2 linked regions of the Alligator mississippiensis genome follow. The protein of the gene in region 2 interacts with the protein of the main gene of each other region in a biochemical or structural test. Links are inferred from orthologs where the notes say so. Each region holds a gene or a part of one and is shown on either strand. Other genes may lie near its edges.

Region 1 (7,625 bases), on a different chromosome or scaffold from region 2:
CAGTGTGGCAGGGAGCAGCAGGGGGCTCGAGGAACCCGGGTGTCCGGAGTGCTGGACCAATGGGTATCGTGCCTGTGTGGGCTGCAGTGAGTAGAAACCAGCCCTCTTTTGAGTGCAGCAGGTCCAGAGAGGAGAAGACTGAGGTGGGATTTGATAATAGTCCTCAAATAATCAACAGTGCCCTTGTTGGCAAGAAGGCTAACTACAGAAAGGAGGTGGACAAGTTGGAGAGAGTCCAGAGGAGGGCAGTGAAAATGGTTCAGGGGCTGGGGGACAGGACTGGTGAGGAGAGGCTGGGGGAACTGGGCTGATTTAGCCTGGAGAAGAGAAGACTGAGGGGGGTTGAATAGCAGCCCTCAACTCCCTGCAGGGTGGTTGCAAAGAGGATGGAGCTGGACTGTTCTCAGTGGGGGCAGATGACAGGATATTAGGAAGAAGCAATGGGCTCCACTCATAGCAAGGGAGGTTTAGGCTGGATATTAGGAAAAATGTTCTCACTAGGAAGGTGGTGACGCACTGGAACAGGTTCCCCAGAGTGGTGGTGAAGTCTCCATCTTTTTTAAACCCGGGGTAGACAAAGCCCTGGCTGGGACGATGTAGTTGGGGCCAGTCGTGCTTGGAGCAGGGGCTTGGACTAGATGTGACCTCCCGAGGTCCCTTCCAACCTTAATTTTCTGTGATTCTATGAAATACCTGAAGGGCAATGACAGCGAAGGTGGAGATGGGCCTTTCTATGTGGCTGTAGGGGTGAGATTAAGTGCAATAGCCTCAAGCTGCAGCAGGGGGACCTGAGGTTGGAGATGAGAAGGATCTTGCTGGCTCTGTGGTGGTTGAGCCGTGGAGCAGGTGGAGTTTCCTTCCACCTGGAAATGTCCAAGAGCAGTTTGGACAGACACCGGGCTGGGAGGGTTGAGTCAGGCCTTATCCTGCCTTGACTAGATGCGCCTTCATGAGGTCCTTTCCAGCCCCTTTCTTCGCTCCTAATTAATAGACAGCAGATAAATGTTACTAGCTGAAGATTCAATTAATACTATTTAATTACTATTATTACCCCAATATCCTACCACGAATATGCCAGCTTGCCAGGGTTATCGATGCTGCGTTTCATTTGTAAAGTGGAGAGAGTTAAGCTGATTTCTGTGATGAAAGCAAAGATCTCTTATTAGTGGATCTGAGTATTTCTACTTTGTGTTTTTAATGTGCTGGAATAATCAACTACTTCTCTGGCTGGTATCTGCTATCTGCAGCCTTTATTACTTATATATATAATTTTTTTTTTCCTCTTTTCTTTTCCAGGCTCCTCAAAGTTGCAGCATCATCCATCCTTGCCAAAAAAATTTTCCATAACAAATTATTCTTCCCCTAAAGCAAAAGTACCTTTCCCTGCCTGTCTCTTCCCCTCTTTTGAAAACAAACCAAGAAAGGTTGAGATTTTTTGTTTTGTTCTCGACCACAGAAATATAATGCAAAATGACGGTTTGATTTTTTTTTTTTAAAGAAAGAAAATCTATTTTTATAGGTAAAAAAACCCACACCAACAAGAGCTTTTTCAGCTGCTGCATCTTTTTAAACACTGAAGCCAAAGTCAACGAATGATGGTTGTCAAAAAAAGAGAGAGGAAAAAAAAATTGGTAGTTTAATAGCTCTTTAGATGTATTTTTTTGCCAAAGGTTTTTAAATAGGAGTTTGATGTAAAGCCATTTGAGATGGGCCCCCCGTGCCTGTAAGTATCTTGGGGGAAGGGGGCTGTGTTGCTCTACAAAGCCATGTGTTAGACCTGAAAGCAAAGCTCATTTCAATGAGTGGGATGAGCTTTGGTTTAGGTAAATTGTGTTTTGAAAAGGGAAATCCAGTCCCTGAGGCTCGATTGTCCTGTGCACTAAGGCTCCTGCACCCCACTCTCACGGGAATCATCTGTGAGTGTCCTGGGGGGCCCAGATCCTCCTATTTTCCCATCACTTTCTGCACCGAGGGGTGCGCACAAGAGGCCTGAACGATGTTCTCATTGATTTCCCGTTGGTCTCATACCTGGGCCATTACCTCCTGACCCCCCTTGTGCTGCCTGCTGCACTTACTCCCATTGCTCCCTGCTCTTGCCATGGGAAAGACCCATTTTTTTCATACTGTATTACTCATCAGAGGCATTAGTTGTTTATATAGATATATAGATAGATGAATAAGCAGCCACGTTGTGCCTTAAAAGGGGTGGTGTCGAGCGCAAGAGGAAGGAGAGAGCTTGTCTAGAGAGAGACAGAGCTGGGTTGTAGCCTAGGGTCTGCGGTCGAGACCAGACAAGGGCAACGGGACATTAAAAGTGATGCAGAGTTTCCAAACGTGCTTGTTGCTAGTCCAGGGACTGGGGCTGCCCCAGGCTGATCTTCAAGGTCTGCAGGTTTAGGGTTTGTGCTAAGGGGTGGTGGGGCCAGGGCTTTGCCTGGAGGAAAATCCGGCTCTGAGGAGCAGCTTAATGCCAGCCATGATGTAGCCCCGCGAGCTGAAGCCTTTTAGCTGCTCCTGTTCCGCTGTGGGTGTGATCCTGCCCCTCTCCCCACCCCACACCTATCCCCTGCCTTCAGCAGGAGGTTGGGGGTCTGCCTAGGGGGACAGGAGCTGGACCCCAAGCCTATTCTGGACCTGAGGGCTCACAAGGACTGCAGGAGACTGTTTCCCCCTCTGATTTTTTTGTATCACTATTTTGAGATCAGTCCAGACACTCCAACAGGGCCCAGCCAGTCTCTAACGCCCTGCTGCCTTCAGCAGCACACACTTTGTATCTGCGGCACTGTTTGAGGAAGCTTACCATGCACTACTCCCTGCCCAGCACTGGGTCCAGCCGCCTACTCCGTTGCCTTGTCCCTGCCCGCCCCCACCATCAACACTAAAGTCAGCCCAGTGGGGCCCTTCTTTGCCTCCCAGAGAAAACGCTGTTTGCTGATAACCTGCTGCCACTCCGGCTCTATTCCCGCTTTTCCGCATCTTGCTAAGTGGAAATGTTACCGCTGTTCCTGTTCTTCTCCCCAAATCAATACACGAGGAATCCTGCCCAGCCCGTGTCCTCTCGTGATTTCATAGGGGGCTGGGGTTAGTGAAAGGAGCAGGTGATGCTCTCGGGCCCTGCGTGGGAGGCTGCCGGTCAGCACGGAGGGAGCCTCGGGCTTGGGGTAGCAGCAGGTGGGTGCAAGGGGCATTGGCAGAGCTCTGGGGAGGGGCGACCAGGACTGGACTGGGGAATTAGGGGCACCGGAGCCCCCCAGGGTGGCTCATAGTTAGACCCAGGGGAAGAGGTTGACCCAGGGAGGAGCAGGGGCCGGGATCCCTGCCAGCATCACCTGGAGGAGGCCTTCCTGCAGAGGGGACTTGAGGCTGCCCTGGTATGACTCCCTCACAACCCCTCCCACAGCCTCAGGAGGGCTGGGATTGACTTCTATGGGGGGGGAATGCGCTAGCCCCAGACACCAACTGGGGTGTACTGGAATGGGGCAGGACCTGAAAGCAGCCATCCACTGCCCTCCACTCTCCTGTAGCTTGCATTGGTGGGGCTGGGGCCTCTGCTGTATGCTCGCCCACCTCCGCCCCCCTTCCCCCCCCCCCCCCCCCCCCCGTAGTGACCCCTGACATGCTCTTCCCCTTCCTCTGAGCCGTGTCTGGAGGCTGCCAGGGTTTCCACAGAGTCAGGGGGCTCTCTCGGGAGCTGATTGGGGCCTGGAGCACCCGGGGTTGGGGGAAGAGGAAACCCCCCAGGATTGGAAGTGAGGGGTTGGGAAAGGAACAGCAAACCCCTCTGGTTCACAGCGTCACCCCCTGTTACTTCACACACCAATCTGTGCCCCCCACCATGCACTTTCCTGCTGCAGGCGCTAGGTGTCACCAGCTCACTTCTGATGGCCTTGACCATGGCAAAGCCAGTGAGCGCCCATCCAGCCGGGCTGCTCCCCAGGGGTGAATGGCACTGCCCCGGTACCCGCAGGCTGCAGCTCCTGTCCTCTGCTTTCCCAGCTATTCATGCCCTGCGGGGCTAAGTGACTTGGCCAGGACCGTACAGCAAAGCGGTGGCAGTCTGGGCTCCTGCCTGCCCAGGCATTAACAGCCATGATTTGAACTGCATCTTTGCACAGGTTCCCTAAGTCTCCTAAAGGCTTGTTAGGACATCCCCCCACTCCCTCAGGCTGCAGTCAGAGGTGCTGCTGGGGGGATCTGAGCCCCTGGGCGGCCTGGGCTGGGGTGATTGCCCTGGACAGCTCAGCATGAAGGTTGTCGGATCCATGCAAGGGGCTGTCTCTTCTCTAGGCAACCCCTGGGGATTGAGGCTTATTTGTAGGGGGGACACCACATCCCTGCCCAGCGTGGGGGAGGCTTTGCTGAGCCCGGGAGTGATGCACGTCCCAGAGGCCTAGAGGCAGTCTGTCCACCAGGCACATGGACAAGCCCTGGGTCCCCCCAGCCTGGACCGAGCCTGAGCTGCCAGCCTGCCTGCCTCCTGCCAGCTCCGGGGTTTATGGCTCTGGGAAGCTGCGAGAGGCAAGGCCGGGAGTGCCAGGCAGTGCTGCTCACGAGGCGGCACTAATGCTCCAGCGCTGAGGCTGGCCAGGAGGGAGGGGAGAAGGAAAGCAGCCTGGGAGCTAGGAGGCAGCTCCAGAAGCCACAGCCAGGAGGATGGCAGATGCCGGCAGAGCCTGCAGCCGTGGCAGATGAGTGCCCGGCCCCCTGCCCACTGCAGGTAAATGGGGGCGTGGGGGTGCTCGGGGACCTCGCACTCCCGCAGCTTTGTAGCTGAGTGACAGGGAAGCCAGTGGGATTTGGGGCTTTCTGTGTCCTGCGTGGATCAGGAGGGGGTGACGGGGGAGCAGGACACCTGGGTTGTCTGCTGCTGATCCACCCTCCAGCTCCTGGCTCCAGGGCTCAGGGCCGGGATGGGGAAACCGAGGCACGGGGGAGGACAGATGGGCTCTCTCAGGGGCATCCAAGCATGTTTCTCCCTGGTTAAGGCAGGAGGGGCAGACGGCCACAGGGTGCCTGGCTCCAGGCAGTGGCAGGGGCATGGGGTTTCTGCCTTGACAAAGCCTGTTGTTGCCATCAGGGATGTAGGTGCTGGGCGCTGGGCACAGTGGAGAGCTGAGCACAGGGGCTGGGCACTGGGTATGGTGAGGAGCTGGGCACTGGGTATGGTGGGGAGCTGGGCACAGGGCTGGACTCTGGGCACAGTGAGGAGCTGGCGCTCCATCATCTCCATACAGAAACAAGGCATCGCAGTTTCCAAGGCAATACCTGCCTTCATGCCCACTGTCGGGTGCCCGCAGCTGTGGCAGCTTGACCCACTGACCACTAGGTGTTATGGTGATAACTCCCTGGGGCAGTGGCCATCAGTCTGTCCAGCTGGCTAGAGAGGGCTGTGGCCGCTACAGCTGGGCACCAGAAGTGGAAGGGGCAGGGACTCGTGGGCACAGGTGCCAGGACCCAGGGGTGGGGAGATGCAGGGTCCACTGACACCTGAGCAGCCTTTACCTGCTACTGCCAAAGGACCTGTGAATTGTGCACTCTCAGCCTTACACTTGTGCACATGCACTTACATACTCTGTCACACTTGTGCACTCTCACATCACACCCTGGCATTTCACTGTCATGCAATCCCACTCCTGGGTGCACCCACCCACGATCATGCACTTTCTCACATGCATGCTCCCCTTGCATATGCACTTGTGCATTTACATGTGTATTGGTGCTGTTGCATACCTAAACACACCCTCATGCATGCATGTACACAAACTTGTGCAACCGCACACTCACGTTCACACTCACCACCCTCTCCCTCCCAGCAAGAGGAGCAGCAGCATCAGGCCCACTGCAGATGCCCTCACTCCAGCCCGGGGCCCTTATCTCAGCTATGACGAGCCGTGCGCCGGGGCGGACGGGGCAGCACTTGGAGATTACAAGTGGGTCTAAATAAGGAGCTTAGCCACCAGGGTCACTGCGCATTTGCTGCTGGCACTCTCATGCAAACAGCTATTGAGGCTATAGGCCCTGGCACTGAGGATGAGCTGCGGAGTCGGGGGACATTTCAGGCAGGGCAATGCCTGCCAACCCCATCCACTGCTGGCTGGGAGCACCCCAGTACCAGGGTTCATGCACCCCTGATTCCCCTTAGGAATCCGTAGGTGCCCTTGCCCGCGGCACCATCCCTTGCACTGGTGCAAAGCAAGGTCACCTGCTCAGAGCCTGTGTCGAGCCCCCAGGGACCCTTTCCAGACCCCCTGCCGGGGCCCAGGCCCCGTGTTTTCTCCCTCCAGCCAGAATCGTGGGCACGAGGCCTCTTGTGCTCTGTTCTTGGGCCTCGGCCAGGTCTCCCTGGTTCCCTTCCCTCCTCTGCAAGCCAGGAAACCTGGCAGCAGAGGCAGCTTGAGTAGGAGAGGCACTTCCAAGCCCTTTCACCCAGTTGCAGCTGGGAGGAGGAGATGGAAGGGGGGCAGCACTGCCTAGGGGGTTGGGGAGCTGACAGGCAGGGCTTTGCTCCTGGGATGGAGGGAGTTACAGCTTCTTGGCTGGAGCAGTGACCAGCTCCCAGGGGCTTTGAATGGGGCCCCTTCCCCAGTGCCGCAGGCTCCCTCTTCTCTCTCAGGCTTCATCCAGAGTGGTTGCTGGGGTCTTCCCCTGTGCTGTGCATGCTCTCCACTGGCTCTATGCCCCTCCTGTCACTGCTGCTGCTCTTTGCTGCTCTGCAAGGCACCGGAAGCCACAAGGAGGTCCCCAGTGCTGCTGTGGCTTCTTGAGGCTCGATCGATCGGCAGCATCTTGGCTGAAATCATGCCCCATTCCCTTCCCCCCACACCTGGGATCTATCACCCCTGGGCCTGAGCTCGCCCTGCCCTGAGCCCTGCCTGGAGCACGCTCTTCTGGATCGGGATCTTTGGGTTCAGCAGCTTCCTATCAGCCCCCTGCTTAGAGCCAGGAAGCAGCAGGAACCTTCAGGGAGGTATCTCCCCTGGCACTCAGCCCCCTTCCACCATCACGGCCATCCCTGCTGGCTCCCAGGGTTTCAGGTCCCCTTTCTTAAAGCCCCAGCTCCCGGAGTCTGGGGAATCCTGCCTGAGCTGAATGAGGACATCAACGCCCGGATTCTACCTTTCCACTATGTGACACAGGAAACTGGGCAAGATGGGCCTATGACCTGACCCAGTCACAGTTTCACTGTTTCTCACCTCTTTTTGGTTACACTAAATTTGGAGCTGGGACGTACATCAAGAGATGGAGGGAAAAAGCTGGGCTGGATCCTAGAATTGGCAAGAGACACCTGCAATCTGGGGAGGGTTTGGACTGCCTGGTCCTTTGGGCACCAGGGAGGGACCAGGCAGGAGCTCCCTGGCCCAAGGGCTAGGACCCAGTGCATCAGGTATGTACCAGGGGCATTAGTGACTCAGGATGATCCCACTCTGACTCGGTGGCGCATGTCTGCTGGGCATCACTACCTGTCCCAATCTGGACTCAGGCCTCTTGTAGGTGCATATGTCCTGGGCCAACTTGGCGCTCTGCTCTAGCCCAGAGGTGGCTGCATTTCAGTGGCAAGGGAGTCTTCGTATTGGTGCTTCAGGGGCTACATAGGTCGCCTGCCGCGCTAAGTGCTATACAAAGGC
Region 2 (8,087 bases):
CCCCTAACATACCTCTGGAGTGTTCAGGGGGAATTTGAGCTTCATTCAACAGCAAAACTTCAGAATCAGACCAAGATTTAACTACTGGCACCTTTCTGCCCACCAGCCTCATAGGCTTTCAGGGAACGTTTGTCAGGCTTTCAGGGACCAGGTTTCAGTTCAGGTTGGGAAATAAAGCTTGATCCTGCCCCACTGGAGTCCACAGAGCTTTTGCCACTGATACTGATGAGACGCAGGATAAGGCCACTAGAAATCTATTGTAATACCTGGATCTTGGTTGGTTCCAGTCAGCACCCAAGCCCTGCAAAGTCCAGTGACCCTCAGGTCAAAGGTTCCAGTTGAATCCCACCCCTAATCCACAACCACGTTAAGGATGGTTTTGTTAGTAGCACTACAAGGGAGACCTGTCACCTGAGGCACTACGACCGAACCCTGAAGAACAGACTCTGGGGAAGTTTTTTGTGCCTCTTTGAATGCTTTTGTTCCTCAACCCCTCCAGACTTCAGCCTGCTGTGCAATAATCACCCACGCAGCTAGCCGCAAAGGTACAAGGTTATATTGTTAGTCCAGTGTGAGACCCACTTCCAAGGGGCCTTACATCCAGTTTATTGGGAGCTTTGCTTGAGTGAGAACTTCAGGATGGGGACCATGGAGAGTACCAAACCCACCCAGAGGGCTCCAGCCTAAGCAGGGCTCCCTCATCTGAGCTCCCACCTGGGGGGCAGGGGGGAGGTTACCTGGGCCCCCACCCTCATCAGAGCCACACAGGGGAGTCTTCACTGCCACCAGGGCTGAGTGGGGAGTTATCTGACCCTGCAACCCACATCAAAGCTCCCACCAGGGCACCGCTGAGGGGTTACCCAGGCCCCCTACCCTCATCAGAGCTGCAGGGTAGGGGGATCCTTGTTCCCACCATGGTACAGGGGGAACAACCCTAACCCTGAGTCTCCATCCCCATCAGAGCTCCCACCTGTATGCAGGTGGGGCGGGGGTGACCTGGACCTCCCCACTCTCATCAGAGCCACATGTGGAGGGGTCCCCACTCCCAACAGTATACAGGGGGGTTCCCCAGCCCCCCACCCCAATTAGAGCCACACAGGGGGTCCCCACTCCCACCAGTGTACAGGGGGGTTCCCCAGGATCAGAGCCACATGAGGGGGCAGGTGCTTGCACCAGGAGGCTGCTGGAGTATAGGATGGGGGGTGACCTGGGCCCCACATCTCAATCAGAGCCACATGGGAAGGGGGTCCCCACTCCCACCAGCGTACAGGGGGGTACCCAAGGATCAGAGCCACATGGGGGTACCCCACTCCCACCAGTGTACAGGGGGGTACCCCAGGATCAGAGCCACATGGAGGGTACCCCACTCCCACCAGCGTACAAGGGGGTACCCCAGGATCAGAGCCACATGGGAAGGGGGTCCCCACTCCCACCAGGTACAGAGGGGTTCCCCAGGATCAGAGCCACATGGAGGGTACCCCACTCCCACCAGCGTACAGGGGGGTACCCAAGGATCAGAGACACATGGGGGTACCCCACTCCCACCAGCGTACAGGGGGGTTCCCCAGGATCAGAGCCACATGGGAAGGGGGTCCCCACTCCCACCAGGTACAGGGGGGTTCCCCAGGATCAGAGCCACCCGGGAGGCAGGCGCTTGCACCAGGACGCTGCTGGGAGAGGGATGCGGGGCTGCCCCCCGCCCGCACCCGAGGGCTGCCCTGTGCCGCGGGGCCGGGGGCGCTACCTGGATGGCCCTCCTCTCGCAGGAGGGCCCGCTGCCCTGCACCACGCTGTCCAGCACGGCCACGAGGCCGGCGTCGGGCGCGGCCAGGCAGGAGCGGCGCGCGGCGCGGATGGCCGCGTCCACGTCGGCGAAGCGGAAGGCGCAGAGCGCGGCGGGCGCGCGGGGGCCGGGGCCGGCGCCGCGCTCGAAGACGGCGAAGAGGCGCTGGTCGGCGGCGTCGGGCGGCGGGAAGACGGACACGAGGCGGTTGTAGAGCTCGGCGCCGGCGCCGCACTGCAGCCCCAGCTGGATGTAGGACTCGGTGAGCTTCTTGGTCTCTCCGGGGCCGGCGGCGGCGGCGTCGGGCAGGCAGATGCGCGCCAGCAGGCTGTGCGCCTGGCTCTCCTTGTCGCCCGCGTTGGCCTCGCTGTTGAGCGCCAGGTAGGCGAAGCGCGCGCGGCGCAGGAAGGCGCGCACGAAGCCCAGCTTGTGGCGGGCCTTGGCGCTGAGCTTGATCTTGAGGATGTTGTCGTCGGACGGGTTGAGGTCGAAGGTGAAGAGCCGCGCCAGGTCCCCGCGCGCGTCCAGGGCGCGGATGGCGATCTCGGGCGTGTTCTCGAAGCGGTGGTCCTCCAGGCTGCGGTTGCGCGGGAAGAAGGGGCTGCCGAAGCCCGTGTAGGTGGCGCCCACCAGCAGGCGCGTGTCGCCGGGCGCGCCGCCGGGCAGCACCAGCCCCACGGTGGAGGCGTTGGGGTGGTTGGCCGCCACGTTGAGCATGCTGGGGAACACGGTCACCGGCTCGGCCGACGGCACGGCGGACGGGGCGTTGGCGGCGTGGGGCGGGAAGCGCACGGCCACGGCCGAGATGTTGGCCATGCTGCGCAGCTGGCACGAGCCCTGGTAGACGGAGCCGCACACCACCACGATGCCCTGCGCCGCGTCGGGCTGCAGGATCTTGTTGTAGTTGGGCGTGGGCACCCGCGCGTGCTCGCACGACGCCTGCGGCAGCTGCGGGGCATGGCACAGCGGGTTGTCGGGCACGGGGCCCACCTGCTCCTCCGCCTCCAGCGTCAGGTTGGGCCCCGCCAGCTGGTACAGCCGGTTCACGGCCGCCACGTACACCCGCCGGCCCGGCCCGTCCAGCGCGAAGTTGTTGGTGGGGGTGGGCGACGGGAACTTGCGCTGCACCTCCAGCCCCGCGCCCGCCCGCAGCGCCAGCGCCAGCACCACCGCCCGCAGCAGCAGCAGCAGCAGCAGCGGCGGCGGCGTCCGAGGGAGCGCCCGCCCCGCCATGCCGCCGCGCCGGGCATGGAGAGGGCACCCGCTGCCTGCGGAGCCGGCGCTGCCTTTGTGGCGAGCCCGCCCGCGCCTCTGGACCGCCCCGACAGGCGGGATGGGATGGGGCTCGGCGGCGCGGAGGCAGGCGGCACCCTCCCCCCGTGACAGCTCCCGCCCCCCTCCTTCCCTTCCCTTCCCTTCCCCTTCCCTTCCCTTCCCTTCATGTCTCGCTTTGCTTCAGGGGAAGGTTTCTTTCCCCCCCGCATTGCTTTCAGCGCTACGAGGAGACCTCTCCCCGCTCCTCCCTCAGACTAGCCGCCCTCACAGCCCTCCCCCCTGCTCGGACGGACTAGAAATAGCCCCCTTTCCTTCGGGTCTAAGCAGGAGAAGACTGACAGACCCTCGCAGGCGATGTCGAGACTGGCTACCGCCTGCGCCCGGCTCGTAGCTGGCCGTCCTAAGGGACAGCCCGGGTGTCCTCTGTTGACGCAAAAACCTTTAGGTCCTCTATTTTTCTGTTCTGGTGGGGGCCACCTACACGGGGTTGAGCAGCCCCTTCTTCGAGAGAAAAACGGAGGGCATAAAGGCACCGGGTTTTGTATCAATAGGGGATGGAGTAGCAGAAAACCGGAATGTCCTCTGGGATGGCCACCCTAGCCCCCCCCGGAAAAAGAGAGTGGGAGAGGAGTGGGTGATGGTGACGGGGGCAGGAAGAGATGAAGGGGCCGGGTACGCCCAGCGTGGAAGGGGTGACACTGGGTTGCTGGCACAGCCCTTGCCCGGCTGCTTTCTAGTCCTTGTGGGGAGAGCCTGGTGCAGCAGTGAAAGGGTCTGAGTCGCCTGGGGACTTCCCCGTGCCTGCCCTCAGCCGGGAGGGGACCTGGGGGGGACAGTGGAGGCTCTTGTCCAAGTTCCCAGGGGAGGGTTCAGAAGCGGGGGCTTCTCCTCGCAGCTCCCAGCTCTGATCTGTGCTGAGGGGACGTGGTGGGCAGCGACCAGGGTGAGGCATCACCCCCTTGAGGGCTCCTCCTGTGCCTCCTCTCTCAGGACTTGCCTACAATGGAAAGTTACTGCAGGGAGAGTGAAGGGTGAGGGGTGTAAAATCCGTGTACAAGTCTAAACCCCGCATGGATACTTTTATTCTGGTAAAAGCCTTTTTTTTCTGGGGTAGCTTAGGTCATTCCAAAAGGGTCAAAGCCTAATTCTGGAAAAAGAGTGTGAGAGGCTATGGCTACATGACTGGCATGGCAGGGAACCTGGGGGCAAAAAGCCCAGAGGGAACTGCCTTAATGCAGCTGTGCTCCAATGAACAGCTGTGGCTGGAAGAAATTGCACTGCCCTGGGAAGAAACTGCCCCGGCTTGGAACCAAGGCAAAAAAAATCCTTGGTTCAGGGCAAACTGACCTCAGTTTTAGGGAGTTGCATCAAGTGGCTGCAGCGTTTTTCCTCAGAGCATCTGGGGTTTTCCAGGCTACCTTGTTCATGTGGCTGCAGCCAGAGTGGCCACTTGAGGGGGTTTTCCCTGTATAAGCATATTGGTTTAACAATATCAGGATACCAGCATATCATTGCAATACTTTAGTCAGTGGGCCCCAGTTGGTGGCTTGTGGGCTCTGAGTTGTCCACAAGACCTTCTGATGTTACTTGCGGCCACAGCTGGGACTGAGGTTGCCCAAGGGAGCCCGCAGCATGTTACTTGCTCAGTGGTGCTGTCCATGAGCCAGCAGAGCCAGGGTGGGAAAGTTGTCAGGCTTTCCCATGAACATAAGCCTTTACAGACAGAGTGGCATGCTATGGTGATACATACATTATAATTGCTGGACATTTGCATTAATCCATCAGTAGGAGCAATGGGACGGCTCACACCTCAGGGTTAGTATATTAGGCTATCTGCAGATCCGTGTGGATTTCAGTGACTCCTGGATCATATTTCTGAAGCTTTCTTTGCAGCCATACCAAAATGAGACTGGCTCTGATTTAATGACAAAATTTAAATTTCAAATGTAAATGAAAGCTGAGATTCTGGAGGGCAAAACGCTTTTATGCTGTATTGGCTGAGTTTGAGTTTTGGTGTTCAGCTTCCGTTCCACTTCAGTCCTGGGTCTTTCTGCTGAGACTGTCAATACCAGGAGTGGTTTGATGTGTGATGTGAACGCTCGCATGCTGGGAAATAACCCAAGGCCCACTATACTCATTTCGTGTAATCTGCATTGGCAGTGAGGGCTTTGTCCCCAGTGTAGGAGGAGACCGAAGGGGTAGGAGCTTTTGCCGAGATTTCTCTCTAGTTGCTCCATTAGGGAACGGGAAAAAAGTTAACCTGAATCTGGCTATTCAGTCTCACCTCTATGGGCTGGAGCACTGTAATGCCAGTCCAGCACATTGTCTGCCCATTCCCCTTGGTGGATTTACTGACCCGCTGAGCACTTTCTGTAGTGTTAGGGGAAGGAATCCTCTGTCCCCAGCTCTGCAATTTCATTGCAAATGTCACAATGTGGTATTTGCTGTGTTTCTTAAAGCCTTCACTCCTGGAGTCATGTGAATCCATGCAACTCTCTGGTTTCTCCTTTTAAGAAGAGGGATGGTTTTAATTGTCATGATTTAGTTTAAAAAACGCAAGTGTAGCGAAACGGTTCCAAAACCAAAGGACAAATAAAAGGAACCCTAAGGGTATTATGAGGGTGCCTCCCTTCATTATGGAAGATGTGAGCCACATGAGAAGGGACATTGCCATGCACAAATAATGGGGGTGGGGTGAGGTGAGGGATGCAATTAAGTCACATTTCTGATCACTAGACATAGAGATGATCTATAAGCTAGCGTGGAAAGGCTCTGTATACTGCGTTCAATTCCCTGAGCCTTTCTTTAGCCTGGACTGTTCTCATGTTACTTGAGTTATTTTCATTCATACAAAACCTATCAGTTAGGCTGATGAGGATTCTGGATGACTCGTTTTCTGGATAGAAAAATCCTCTGTTGTTGTCTAATCTCATTTCTACACCTGCCAGCTCTCTTCACCTCCTTCCTGTCCTTTTCTCCCTCTTCAGAGCTCTAATTAATACATAACTGCAATGGCCATGCCATGCCCACTGAAAAATGTGCATTGAATTAAATACGATGCTTTCCTGCTATCGAACATATTGTCTCTACTAATCACATCCCTAATGGATAGAGTTATTGGCTGTTTTTTAAATTTAGAACACCAACACTGTTTGACTTTTTTTTTACTTTAACTTTTCCATTTTTAAATACAATTGTGACTTTAGCCACCCAGAAATAAACCCATGTTATAACTATAATGATACACATTTTAGCACTGTTCAATCTAGAGCTTCCGAGGGCTTTATCCATGTCAAAGGTAAGGACAAACAAACAATTCACAGCAAGTTACAAGGGAACAGGAACTTACTGCACATCAGCTGCCCCATGGTACCATTTGTTTGTCCACTCTTACCCCACGATAAGTGGAAGCTAATCTACAGGAATTTAGCCCTGAGAGCTAAGGTGCTGCAATTTAGCTTTCATTTATTTCATGGCAAGAGCAGGCACATTAACAGTTACCCATGTGATAAGTCCCTATGCCCTTTTAATTGACTATATTTTGTTTGTTTGCCCACACCCAGCATAATTAAGCTGTGACTGTGAGCCAGCTAAGCCTCAATATCCCTGTTTTCACAGAACTGATGCACAGAGATCCACATTTTCAAGAATGGCGAGTTATTTAAATAACTCCATTTCAGGGACCACAGCCTCTTAAACTATTCACAATAAAGACTGTATACTGCTGCCCGTCTCTGTAGTAGCTGTGCTTCTTCTAAGCAAAATCAGTCTTTGAGGGTGTCTCAGATGGGGTACCCAAAACATGAGGCACCCAAATTTACTAGTCATTTCTGAAAACGCAAGCCAAAGGGTGTAAGCAAATTAGTGGCTTCCCAAATGAAGACAGTCACTGGCCTCATCAGTAAGAGAACCGGGGAGTCCTGACTACCATTTCCTGTTCTGACCACTAATCAAGGCTGATAGTTAGAGCCAAAATATTTGTGGCAGTGTGAAATTTATCTGCTAAATATTTTATTTTTGTTGTTGTTAGGAAACAATCCCTTGATAAGCTGCTTTGAGCGTAATGTTTTCTAGAAATGGATTTTTCCCCTATTATTATCTGTTGAGTTAGAAGCCCTAGCGAATCTTTTAGGATAATGCTGCTAATAGAGGTAATAGAGGTTTTTAAATCTCTAATACTCAGAGCTTACCATTATTTTTTATTCAGGAAGGAAGAAAGGCCTAAAAAAATACACGCCTCCCACTAAGAACAATTGCCCCCTGCCAAAATCCTTTCCTGTTTGACTCTTATGCAGGTTTAAAGATAACAGCTTTTTAGACATCTCTGTGGGGGAGAGGGTTGTGTGTATAGGAACACAAAAACACTTTAATTATTAATAAATATATTTACACAAGAACAATTTCCCTTTGGGGGAAACACGAGTTACTCATGAAATTACTCAGGTTATATTGCCGCAACACTGTCAAAAAAACCAGGATCTAATCTCTTTACTATGCAGACTAGAAACATCCATTTATTTTCTTGTTTTTTCTCTGCATGGAAGGCATAAAGTATTTTGCAGATACAAAAGGAGAGTTCACCATCACACATTGGTAATGGACTGGTTTGATTCAGCAGACCCAAATAAATAACTTGCCGTGTGACAATTTGGAAGGGAGAAAGGGGCTGGTTTCTAGATATAACAGATCATTGAATGTGACAGTGTCCCACTGCATAGGATTGAGTTAGCTCTCTGGCACTGAGGGTTGTCTGCCTGTCTGTCTCTCTCATTCTGTCTCCTGTAGAATATTAAGAGAGAGAAATTCTACAAGGCTCTTTAGCTCAGTAATTGAGCACCTGAAAGCAGGAAAATCTATTTTTTGATTATTATACAGACTGTATCTGGGAAGGGTTGGCAATTTCCCAAGCCTGATTCAAGTGTTGCCTGGTTTATATATGGGAGGGGGAGAGGGAGACAGAGGTGTTGTGAGCAGATCTGTTTGACACTCAGTGTATTCTTCCTGGGAGAACTGGGGGTTATGCAAATCT

Evidence for each region.
Region 1: the proteins of PLXND1 (region 2) and SEMA4A form a complex in vitro, tested with the Homo sapiens proteins (2 studies listed by IntAct, with this or other methods). The link is inferred for Alligator mississippiensis from reciprocal best matches to the Homo sapiens genes PLXND1 and SEMA4A.

Annotation. Positions count from the first base shown.
Region 1 is NC_081838.1:17,389,393-17,397,017, forward strand, and holds the start of SEMA4A (semaphorin-4A), read left to right. Parts: upstream 1-4,578; 5' UTR 4,579-4,717; intron 4,718-7,625. UniProt on the Homo sapiens protein: Cell surface receptor for PLXNB1, PLXNB2, PLXNB3 and PLXND1 that plays an important role in cell-cell signaling. Regulates glutamatergic and GABAergic synapse development.
Region 2 is NC_081835.1:15,265,629-15,273,715, forward strand, and holds the start of PLXND1 (plexin-D1), read right to left. Parts: upstream 3,059-8,087; 5' UTR 3,017-3,058; coding exon 1,745-3,016; intron 1-1,744. UniProt on the Homo sapiens protein: Cell surface receptor for SEMA4A and for class 3 semaphorins, such as SEMA3A, SEMA3C and SEMA3E. Plays an important role in cell-cell signaling, and in regulating the migration of a wide spectrum of cell types.